2 linked regions of the Drosophila melanogaster genome follow. The protein of the gene in region 1 purifies or fractionates together with the protein of each later gene. This does not show direct contact. Each region holds a gene or a part of one and is shown on either strand. Other genes may lie near its edges.

Region 1 (7,406 bases):
GTCGGCGTCGCCAGTCGACGTATCTCTATCTGCCGATGTCGGCGACGACGCGTTGTTTGCTAGCACGTGAACATTATCAATGGATGCGGCGGACATGGCGGGGTAATTTGACTTTGCCGCGACCAGAACAACAAATCAACCAGATAGGGTTGGGCCGGCACCAGTGGAGGTTTCTACGTGGAGCTTGCCCTCCACTGAAGGTGCCACTACCTGACCCCCAAAAGTATCCAGCATAATCACAAGCACCTAAAAAGCGCAACTCTAAGACTTTGGAATGCCCTACACCTATTCAGCACCACTTTATCACTCAGAATAGTCGTTTCAATTCCATCATGATTACCTGACAATATTTGATCAATGTACCATTGAACTCGCTGAATAGCTAACACGAAGTTAACACAAATCATACTAATTATTTATCTGCCTGATGGGAAACGTATCTGTCACGTCACTTTTGACGTACTGATAAGATTTCCCTAGATTATATGGCAATCGATTACGATTTTAGGTAACATTGTCTGCAGTGTGGACTTTTGAGTATATGAACTCCCAGAGTTAAATACACTAATTTTAATTCGAAAACAAGTTAAAATAATTGTCTGGGTTTTCTTATCAAATTCGTTCCTTTTGCTGTTTTCCTTTATCTATAGGAATTATGATCGATGTACTTAAAAATAAATAAGTTCTCCCACCAATATATATATATTATCTAATATATTGATGACTTTCTACTTTTTATAATAATAAAATATTAAATTTATTGTAAGAATATGAAGCAAGTTTTTGCAGCAAAACATAATACACCAACGGGCATAATATAAATCTTAAACATAATGCAATTTAAACTTAACTATCTAGAACCAACTAGTTACAATCGAACTTCCCATACTTAATCGAGTTCAATGGCCAAGTGCTTAATATTTCATTCGTAATTTCAAGTCAGGTCCAATCTATAAGTTTGATGAGGAGTCGGCCGCGGTCTCGGCCACGTTGTCAGGGCTTCCAACGGCGGATACGACGCCCTTGGAGATGTGAGTGGAGGTGCTGTTGTTCCGCTCCCGACGCGTACGCATCAGAAGGTCAATGAGATCGAGGAGCAGGTCGTCACCGGGGCTGCACTGCACCATCAGTTGTTGTACGAAGGCCAGGCGCTCAGAATCGGAACGTGGGCCGCTTTTCAGAATTTCGGGTACCTGGGCCAGCAGCCCGTTGCGGCAACTTGCGCTGATCTTGGACTTGGCGCATACGTACTCCAGCACAGAGGTCGGGTTCAGGCGGTCGCACACCACCGACGACAGATTCTCGCGCACAGCGTGGTCCAGGAAATCCTTGGAGTGGTTCTCCGACAGAGTCTCTAGCACGTTGGTCTTAAGTTTTTCGTTTGCCGTCATTTGGGCGGACAGAAACTTAGCCAACATGCCGGCGCTCTTCAGCGGACTCTTGTCAAAGTAGCGCTGCAAAACCGACTCCAGCGGTAATTGCGCCACCGCCAGATCAAGAGCGGCTTCTGGATCCATGATGGCTAGATCCTGGCCGGCTGTCTCGAGTTCAGACTCCACTTCCATCGCCTTGACGGGTTCTTCGGATATGCTAATGTTGTGCGCGTTGCCTGTGTCGTTCCACTTTAAGCTGGTGAAAGCATCCTCCTCGGGTGCTTCGCCAGTGGATTTGTCCAGGCTCTTGTCCGTCGTCGCTGTTCTGGCCGTCTGTTCGCTAGCGAAACGCTCTATTTCGATTATGCTGTCTAACCGACCACGTCTCCTCAACGCCTGGCGCATCTCGGTGGTCTGGGCCACCTTGTCCATAAGCAGACAGCGTTTGGGCTTCAAACTGCTGCGCGTCTCCTCAGCATCGCGTAGATACTCCTTGGTGACGGACACCGGTGGGTCGTGGAAACTAACTCGCTTACGCTTTAGAGCCGGCGAGTCCAGAGTAACATCATCGAGACTTTCGCATCGTAGCTTGCGCTTCAAGATGCTTACGGAGGGACTGGCCGATGGGGATGGCAGTCGTTTGGAAAACACCAATAGATCCTTCGAGGGAGGTGCCTGAATCGGTGTGGAAGTGTGATCCGTGCCCGTCAGCTCGTTTAGCTCGCTGGTGGGAGTGGACACCTGCTCGGCGCGATCCTGGGCACGGGCCGGCGTCACTTGGTGAACCAGGCGCGAAGTAGACATGCACGCATACGGCGAGCCGGAAGCAGCGTCCAGCTTCTTGTTGCGAATCATATTGATCAACTGAGCACCGCGTCCAGTCAGATGTCCCGTGGGCTTGGGCCGCAATGTTGGACTCGAGGAGTTGTTTGTCTGCTTGCGATCAGGTGGAGAGCTCTGCGAAAAGAAGGCGGAAATTAAAAAAGTTCATAAAAACATTGTAATAAAGTAACCGTTTTAACCAAGTCTAATGCGATTTACTTACCAAATTGTATATTCGCGTGCCTGATTTCTTTGGAGACATCTCACCGGCAGCCACAGCCCCCGCAGAAGCGGCAGGATCTCCGCTGCTTCCAGGCAGTTGGGTAGAGGGTACAGCTTCCAAGGGTACATCAGGCGGGGTCAGTTGTGTTGTTTCTGGAACAGGGTCGGGTTTCTTAACCGGTTCTGGCTGAGGCTCTGGCTCAGCTGCGACTTCCGGGAAAAGATCCTCGCTCTGCGCGATTACCACAACGGGGGTGGGTTTTGCAACCTTTGCCTGCTTAACGGCAGCTGCAAAAATTCAAGTGTTGGGATTAACATCCTTAGCTCACCTGTTACTTGTTTCACGTACCTGCTGTAGATTGAACGACCGGGGACGGTGGCAATTTCTTTGGCGATCTGAGCTGTGGTTCAAACGCTGGCTGTGGCTGAGCCACCTGTTCCGTTTCTTTTTGAGCCGCCCGTGTTCGCGTCTGACGCTTTGGCGGCTCCTCGGCAAGAGAAGCAGCCCTGGCAGCGGCCTCGAGTTCTTTTTGAGCTTGGGACTTACGCCCCGGTTTCTTTCGGATGGGTGTAACTACGTCAACTCTCACTGGTTCCTTCTCAGACTCCTCGCTGGCCGTTATATCGATCACCTCGCCGTTGTCATCCTTGCCGGTTAAGGCCAGCTCACCCTGTTTGCTCTTTGCAATAACCACCTTCTTAGGGGTCCAGGGCTTAATGGAAGCCGAGTCCTGAGACTGCGACATATCATTGTACAGAGCTGGAATGTCCGACTTTTCAGCGAAGCGCTCCTTTTGACGATCCGTCAGCTTCTCTGGATTCAGACTCCACACTGATGGGATGATCACGAAGAGATCATCTGCCTTAAAGAGTTCTTTGAGCTGATTGGCCATCGTCTTCATGGGTAGCTTGCGAAACTTTTCTTGAATTCCCCGCTTCCACTCCTCCAAGAATCCGCCTTCGCACTTCATCTTATTCCAGCACTGGATGCCAGAAGACAATGTTGGTTTCAATGAATCGAACACTACCATTAGTTCGTTTTGCCGCAACTCCACCACCAGGTTGCGGAGGGTGTTTAAACAGGCTTCGAGCGTTTTCTGGGAGGAGGGCTGCTCGAAAATGGTTTGAAGTAGCCCAAAAACGTCCTTATACAAAGGTGCCTCCTTACAGAGTCCAAACTTGATTAAGGAGGTCACATAAGCATCGAAGAGCTCTGCAAAGAGCGGTTCATCCTTGCTCTTTAGGAGGTCTGTAAGTGTGGCTTTCAGGTCCGTCAAGAACTTCTTCCTCCCCGGCGCGTTTTGGCCTGCGTTTACCAGTTGGCGCCATTGATCGCAAAAAGAGGCATCGAAGGAGTTGCTAGCACGCCGTCCCGCAAAGGCAGCCAGTGTCTGAAGTGGCCATAAAAGCCAAGTGTCCAAAAGGGAAGCGTTGTGTGCCACACGGTATTCAAGCGCATTGTTTCGCAGATAGTTGGACAACGCCTGCGACACCTGTCGCCACACCTGCAGCTTGAATGCGAATCCCTCAAAGTCCTCTTCGTCGTTGGCCTGCATCAGAAGCTCAGCGAAGGAGCCCAGCATCCGGAACTCGTTCTGATTGTTCGCCTCGATACGATCGACTGCGAAAATGCATGCGATACTTCGCTGCAGAATTGCTGCCGGAACTTCTGTCTTGGATTTCAGTACAAGTTTCAAGTAGGCCTCCAGAACATCAAGATGGTCGCTTCCAGACACACGCTCCATTACCAAGTTATCTGCGGCTATGGTATTGAAAAGAGCGCGTACAACTCGGCCACCGGAGTTATCTTCAGCCTGCAGGATTTTCTCGATTTCACTGCAGCACGCCACATTGAAGGGAGCAACTGCCAACCGAAACATGGCAAGGCACAGATTCCGCACGAGCAACTGCAGCAGGAGTTGTTCCGCTTCTGTGGCATCGTTCTCGGTAAGCAACTTTAAACCGGAAACGGCAGCGGCCAAAAGAGGTTTCCAATGCTGTTGGAATACCTCTACGCTCATCAGAGGCGAGGGCTGGACCAAGGTCTCCAAGCGTAGCTCTCTCATTAGACGCTGCAACGGTTCACTGGACTCCACGCCCCAAAGGGCCACAAGGCAGGGCAGGGCCAACTCCCGAGCCGTCTGGTAGTTGTGCGCCAGACCCGTAGCCAGATTTCGTGGACCTCCGCCTAGCATAAAAGCCAAAAAGTGCTCCACGGCGCTGTCAAAAGACTTGGGTAACTCGTGGTCCAGGCAGCTGAGCAGATACCACCACACTCGCAACTTGATGCCACTCACGTGCGAGGATCGCGATTGTGAAGTGCGCAGGGGGATCAGCAGCAAACGAAGCCTCTTCGCGGATGTCAGTTCGTCGTAGGCGGCAAAGATCTTGATGAGCACGCGCCAGCAAAGAAATGCCTCCGACCGCACACCATTATCCGGGTTGCGGAAGCCCAATTCAACCAGAGCCAAGAATTTGTTGATATATACACAGCCCCTGAGCAAATCCTCGTCCATGATTTGTACCAGCAGCGTCCATATTTTGTGCCAGTTGGAGTTCTTAGCATCGCGCATCTCCCCGATGATGATGGTGTATTTGTCGACAAATTCACTGCGGATCTGAGGCCAGCACTTGGCCGAGTGGATAACGGACACGTCAAGAGCCACCAGTGCCTCCGCAAGAGCTGCCACGGCACAGTCCTGGATCTTTCGGTCCGCATCGAACATAAGCGGCAGGATATCTCCCAGCCAGAACTCCACCAGTTCGTCATCCGTAAAGGAAGTGGCTATCAAACCGGAGCTTTTGCAGCTGCTGGCCAACAAGTCGATCATCTGGTGGTGCACATGGAAATATAGGTGGGGGGCCGGAGCTATAGTGAGATACATACTTGGCGCTGCAATTGGGTGCCCTACTTACGTTGCAATAATGCTGACGGCGGCCAGCAGCGAGCACTTCTTTCGCGGAAAGCTGCACCGTGCGGTAGGACTGCCCCGCCTGCGCGCCGAAGTCTACATCCATGGCTCGTACGCTGGATGATACGCTTATTTAATTATATTATTTTCTTCCGCCTGCGAACGCCACAAGTTATTTTCCCGCAGTTTTAAAGACTGTCGAAGAAAAAAGCGCGCGAATTGCTATGGCTAGAGGTGGCAAAAGCAGGTCGATATGTCATCGACAAGTTATCGCCGACAGTATGAAAATACCAAAATTGTGAAACTCAGAGTTGCCAGACTTGTGCAACGCCGGAAGTTAAAAATAATTTAAATTTAAAATCCTAGCAACATCACAAAGGACTACCGTTATTATTATTTTAGCTTTTACTCGTTTATTGCTTTTTACTCGATATTGTAGAGCTCAAGAACCGCCGTCCTCAACTGATTTCCGTAAAATAACTTTGTAACTGGCGGGACTCAATTGGATTTTTAAACATTTTAAACTCCCCAATTACAAGCTAAAAAGTATTTAAAACGTGGAATTGCAAATCATACAGAATCTGCACCTTTTATGGATCGACATAGTTGCAAAACACAAACTCGTTTAATTTTAAACATTTTTCTTTGTCAATTTTATTAGGAAATAATTGTTACACACAGAAATGAATATTATAATTGTCATTTCCCCCATTATTGCTCGGGACACGTTCTCTTCCTAATTAATTAGCTGAACACAATTTTGCGGCTGTGAACCGTCGAAAGCTTCGCCGGAAAAAGGTTAAATAAAAAACTGATAATTAAACTTGGTTTAGCAACAGCTATTACACATAATATATATATATATATTTGTCAATAGGTTATACATAAGGTATGCGTTTAATTGGTGCGCATAGTTATACTTGAATAATTAATAAAAATAATACACGTATTAAATATATATAAAAGACAACTAAAATGACCAAAAGGGGCTATTACACATGTATCGTATATGCATATATAATATATATGAATATAAATAGTGAAAAATAGTCAAAAACATTTTACATATACATATAGGGTCATACATACATACAGCATACATATAAGTATATATAGATTAGTATAAATTATTATTATTATGTAGATTTCTTTAAATGCGATTCGATTTTGTTTCGATTTTTAGGTCTAACTTAGGTCGGTAATTGTTAATTGTTAGAGATTTACATGCGACTACCCAGCTTAGATGTTGTTATCCGATTTATGTTTAGGTTTATGTTTCCTCAATTAGTTTAGATTAATTGTAATATTAGTTACGCTTCGATTTGCACACATTTAGTTTAATTAGGACTAATTCTAGGAAAACACTTGCAACAATTTGTTGGAAATTCGTTACACGTTTGGGGCCTTTGTTTCGTTACGATTCAATTCGATTCTTTGTGGTTTATTGGTTTGTTTCTCGATCCTTTCCGGTTCTATCAAAATACTTTATCCTTTGAGCAACTTAGACTAAAGAAGGTTTTCGTTATGCACTTATTATCGTTTACTCGTTTCTTTGAGACAACTGAACGGAGCGTTTAAAACGACCGTTGCAGGTTTTTGTATTTTGTAATGCGTGCGCTTCTGTGCGATTTTACTGTGTTTTGTTTTGTTTAGAACTTTAGTTTAGTTTATCATTATTTATCGTTTGTCATTCGACATTCGTCTGGTTACCATCTCCCAACAACTGTTTCGTTTTCTATCTACAAAAGGAATCTGTTCTACGTTCAATTTCCGAGCTCCTCGACTGGTTCCTCTGGCGGATGACGGATGGTGGGGGGATGGAGGGAATGTATTTGCTGCGGGACTCATGCTGGGCGGGTTGGGCGTTGAGTTCAGTTCAGTTCGAGGGGGCGTGGCACATGCAATGACTTGCTTAAAGCTTGTATACGCTGATGTGATTGAGAATGTCCTACATGGGAGGGGAAAATAGGGCACACAACGTGCGAAAGAAGGAACGGGGAAGAAGTGACGTGGGTCAGCTAATTTCCGGCGGAGTGTGGCAGGGGCTACAGTTGCGTCTCACATAAATACATAGATA
Region 2 (4,717 bases), on another chromosome or scaffold:
CCCACAGCCACACCGCACATCTCCATTTTGCAAAGATGTCCTTTAAGGTGAGCTTTTGTCCAAAAACTGATTGCCATTGGCTAAACAAGAGTCTCCCGCAATGACACAGCCCATTGACCCGAAGCGCGACGAGATCCGGCGCTATCTAGAGCGCGGCAGCGTCCTGGACTCGCTGACCAAGCTCTTCATACGCGTGATCAAGGAGCGGCCCGAGAATCCCATGGACTACATCCGTAACCACATCGGCGTGGTGCGCCACCAGCACGACAAGTACGAGCGCCTGCAGCAGGATCTGCAGCTGGCCAACGAGGAGATCCAGCGTCTGCGCGCCATCATCAACGGCATCAATCCCGACGTGCTCCAGGGTCATCAGCCAGTGGCTTCAAGTGAAGTAGTGGTCGCAACGGAGGCGCCACAGACCGTGGCCGAGTCCACTGAGGCGGCGGAGCAGCAGCAGCAGCAGCAGCAGCAGGAGAACGGCGAGACTGAGCTGGAGAAACCTAACGAAAGTTCGGCGGACGTTGCGGAGATAACTGCCGCTGTGGAGGCCTGCCAGATTGAGGGGAACTCGGTGGTGACCACCGATGAAGCCGCACAGCCAAGCCCAACCGTCCAAGCTGAAGCCAGTGGCTCCAGTGAGTAGATCTCAGATGACAGCAGCACGTGCCAGCACACACCAAACGTAAAAACAAAAACATCCCATTTAGAACGCATTCATTTAGAAGAAATGTTAAGTATTTTCCGGAATTTACATGTAAATAAAGCGAAATAAAGCATGAGCGCATGCAGCGTATTATGGATTTTTCAAATGTGTTTATTGAAATCAGTTTCATAATTCATACACGTTTTATATCATTTGTTTATTAATACAAAGGATTATTGATAATACATATTAATAATAGTTAATTTTTAAAAAACACATCCTTAAAATGACGGGAAGCGGACGTTTGAATAGCTGATGAATGGTAAGGAGTTTTAGGGACAAACTAATATATTTCGCTGATTTTCTTGCAGATATTTCTCTGGCTGGCTGGCTGGCTGGTCCATTCGGTCGGACTGCATTGTGGACGAACAAAAAAAAAACTGATTCAAGGTCGAAACTTAGTGCTTATAATTCCTCTTTATACTTCTTGGCAAGCATTCGCCTCCACCTCCTCGGTTCAACGATTTCCCCTCTTCGATTTTTTGTTTCTTGTTTTGTTTTCACTTGCTCTATACTCTTAAGGCCAACGAGCACTACAGGGCCCCCACATCTGTATGCTTTGTGACCGACTGGCGTCCAGTCGCTCCTCTGCTGCTCCGTTTCCATCTAATCTGCATGGTTATGCGCTTGGTGCTCTGCTCGAACGGTCAGTTGATTAACCTAGTGTTTAAATTTTGGACAAAACCTATAAAAGCGCTGGTGTTCAAATGTGTGTACATGTGTGTGCGTGGGTGAATGGTTGGTCGGTCGGTAGATATACATATATATATATATATACGGGGGCTATTACAAATAAATATGTGGCTTTTAATCATGGTATTTGTCAATGTGTTTGTAATTGCGATTTAAATCTCAATGGGTGTGGGGTGGAAGGGGAAAACTGCAGTCATCTGCTGGAAGGGATGTCTCTGGGGATGTCCTTTGATCGTGGCGCTGCTATTCCATACCAAATTAATGGTGCAATTTCTTGTGGATTTCGACTCGCCCCGGCTGCCGATGATAAAAGTGACCAAAAACAGAGATAAGGTTGGGGTGAGAGTGTGATTCACTAGTTTGTTACTCTGCGTCAGCAGCCCATACTTACGTTTCATGCATCATTTGATGTGTTGTTTCAAAGGATTTTATTTCTGGTTGATTGTGTGGTTGGGTTTGTGGTTGTTTTTGTCGTGTTTATCTTTTGTATCTTGTTTGGATTTCTTATTGATCTGTTTTAGATAGAAAAAGACTGCTCGTGGTGCTGCAGTTGTGTGATATTACTTTTTACGCTTGTCGGCTGGCTTGAGGATTTGGAACGAGCACATCAGCGTATCGTCCACGGACATCATGGCGCCGGCATTGTCGAACTCGCCGCAGTAGTTGGGCGCCGAGAACAGGGTGACCAGCATGCGTTTGGCAAAGAACTCGTACCCATCCTCGACGACTTGATGGGCTCGGCAGATGAGATCGAACTCGTGCTTCTGCAAAAACTTGGCCACCACCTCGGCACCGAAGGTGAAGCTAACGCCGCGGTCGTTTTCGCCCCAGCCCATGGTATCCTTATCGGGATCGGACCACAGGAGATCGCACAGCAGTCCCTGGTCGGGCACATCGGTTGGCCGCATAATGCGACGGATCTGCTCCATGGAGGTCAAATCGGGACTGAGACCACCGTGGCAGCAGAAGATCTTCTCGTCGACAATGGCCGCCACTGGCAGGCAGTTGAAGCAGTCCGTGAATGTCTTCCACAACTTGATGCTGTAGCGACGCTTGCATTCGTCGTAGAATCCGTATATGCGATTAATGCTGGCGCATTCGTGGTTGCCGCGCAGCAGGAAGAAATTCTCCGAGTATTTGATCTTGTAGGCGAGCAGCAGGCAGATCGTCTCCAGCGATTGCTTGCCGCGATCGACGTAGTCGCCGAGGAACAGGTAATTCGATTCCGGCGGAAAGCCGCCGTACTCGAACAGACGCAACAGATCGTAGTACTGTCCATGGATGTCGCCGCAGATCTTCAACGGTGCCTCTAGCTCGAGCAGAATGGGCTGCGACAGGAAGATCTCGCGCGACTTCAAGCAAAGTCCCCGGATCTCGCCCTCCGAGAGCTGTACGTTTTTACCTGGCCGTGCCCCACGCACCTCGAGAAGTCGCGATATTATGCTGTCGATATTCATCACGTCGCCCATGTTTGCGTGCGAAAGTGTGGATCTGGTGCACTAGTGCTGCTGTTGGGTGTCGAGGTTACCGCGAACGATCGTTGGTAGCGCCGAAATAGCCTCGAAATCTTTAATTTCCGAAATCTATTTCTGCTAAATACTTTTCACAGCTAACAAGTATGAAAATTTCTTCGTATGCTGTTGCGTGAGTGCGGGCGGGATGGCGAGTGTGCTTCTAGCTGATGTTGCCACACTGCCGGAAGTCGCGGATATGGCCAGATAATAGACGCCATCTTATCTAATCGATAACATGCAAATATAGTGCATAATCGATAACGAAGTTGCTGTAATATTACTCTTATTACATTAAGGACATTTCCAATCCATTGCAAGAGTTCCGCAATAGCTCTACTTTTATATTTTCATTCGAAACGGGTCTTCTCGACCCTATAGTGGCTCGAAACTGCTGTTAGTAATCGATTAAACGCATGGCGTCCAGTTACTCTATTTCAGCGGTGTGGCAGCCTGATCAGGGGGACACTAGCCATCCCGCTTGCACTCAGGCACGCCTGGCATGACTTACTGTGGAAAAGAGATGGGAGACTGATGCATTTGGCGAGGCTATTCGATATACCGGTAACAAGGGGATATTTAAATACATTGGAAATTCAAATAAGCCAATAAGAATATTCGTTTACAGAACATAGGTTAATTCATTTTCCTTATTGGAATAACTTCCACATGAGTTATGATTTAAAATGCCAAATTTCCCTTAAATTCTCACAAAACTAAATAATATATTGATAGATATATTAACAATCACACTATGTAAAAATTTTGTATGAAATGTGCTCATGTCTTGTTATCGATAATTCGATACTCTATGCATTTCCTGCCTACGCCCGCTAATCATTTAATTAACTGTTAAATAGGCGGGTTTCAATTTAATCAAAATGCTGTTAAACGATATCATAAGCGGAAAATTAGTTGATTCCGTCTATATTATAGCGGAAATTGGCCAAAATCACCAAGGTTGTGTGGAAACAGCGAAGAAAATGATATGGGAGGCCAAAAAAGCCGGTTGCCACTGCGTCAAGTTTCAAAAATCGGATTTGCCAGCAAAGTTTACGAGATCCGCTCTAGATCGCGAATATATCAGTGATCACGCCTGGGGAAAAACGTACGGGGAGCACAAGGAGTACCTGGAGTTCTCCAAAGATCAGTATCTCCAGCTGCAGGCCCACTGCAAGGAGTTAAATGTGGACTTTACGGCTTCCGCCATGGATGAGGTTGATATTAATTAATTGTTAACCAATTACTACTACTAACAATTCCTTTTTTCCCTTGTTTCTTGCTTAAATAGTTATTAATGTGTGTATATGCTATTTTAAACAGAGATCGTTGGAGTTCCTTTCTGCTCTAAATGTTCCCTTCATCAAAATTGGTTCCGGAGACGCAAACAACTTTCCGCTTCTCAAAAAGGCCGCCAATTTGAACTTGCCCCTGGTGATCTCCACCGGAATGCAGACTATGCAAACTGTGGAGAGGATTGTGCAAACTATGCGGGAGTCAGGAAAAGAGGACTACGCTCTAATGCACTGCGTTTCATCGTACCCAACTGACCCAAAAGATTGCAGCTTGCAGTTGATATCCGTCTTAAGGACACGCTTTCCCAATGTGGCAATTGGGTACTCGGGTCATGAGCTGGGAGTGATCATTAGCCAGGCCGCCGTCTTGCTGGGAGCACGCATAGTGGAGCGCCACTTTACGCTGGACAAGAGTCAGAAGGGCTCCGATCATCGCTGCTCCCTAGAGCCGCAAGAATTAAAAGCTCTGACTACAGCCATCACCAACTTCAAACTCTCTTCAGTTCCCATGCCTC

What was found.
Region 2: the proteins of Rif1 (region 1) and Pp1-87B purify together in Drosophila melanogaster (affinity purification with western blotting; 2 studies listed by BioGRID). This does not show direct contact.

What each region holds. Positions count from the first base shown.
Region 1 is NT_033778.4:15,863,572-15,870,977, forward strand, and holds Rif1 (Rap1 interacting factor 1), read right to left. Parts: upstream 5,577-7,406; 5' UTR 5,436-5,576; coding exon 5,334-5,435; intron 5,249-5,333; coding exon 2,767-5,248; intron 2,706-2,766; coding exon 2,419-2,705; intron 2,331-2,418; coding exon 951-2,330; 3' UTR 738-950; downstream 1-737. UniProt on the Drosophila melanogaster protein: Regulates the timing of initiation of DNA replication. Functions in copy number control by promoting the underreplication of DNA, which is found in many late replicating euchromatic regions of salivary gland polytene chromosomes.
Region 2 is NT_033777.3:12,422,824-12,427,540, forward strand, and holds Pp1-87B (protein phosphatase 1 at 87B), read right to left. Parts: upstream 3,095-4,717; 5' UTR 2,866-3,094; coding exon 1,957-2,865; 3' UTR 1,788-1,956; intron 1,694-1,787; 3' UTR 798-1,693; downstream 1-797. Other genes in the region: CG17202 (uncharacterized protein), read left to right, coding at 36-47, 110-643; NANS (N-acetylneuraminic acid synthase), read left to right, coding at 3,789-4,124, 4,231-4,717. UniProt on the Drosophila melanogaster protein: Is essential for the regulation of mitotic chromosomal segregation as well as regulation of chromatin condensation during interphase.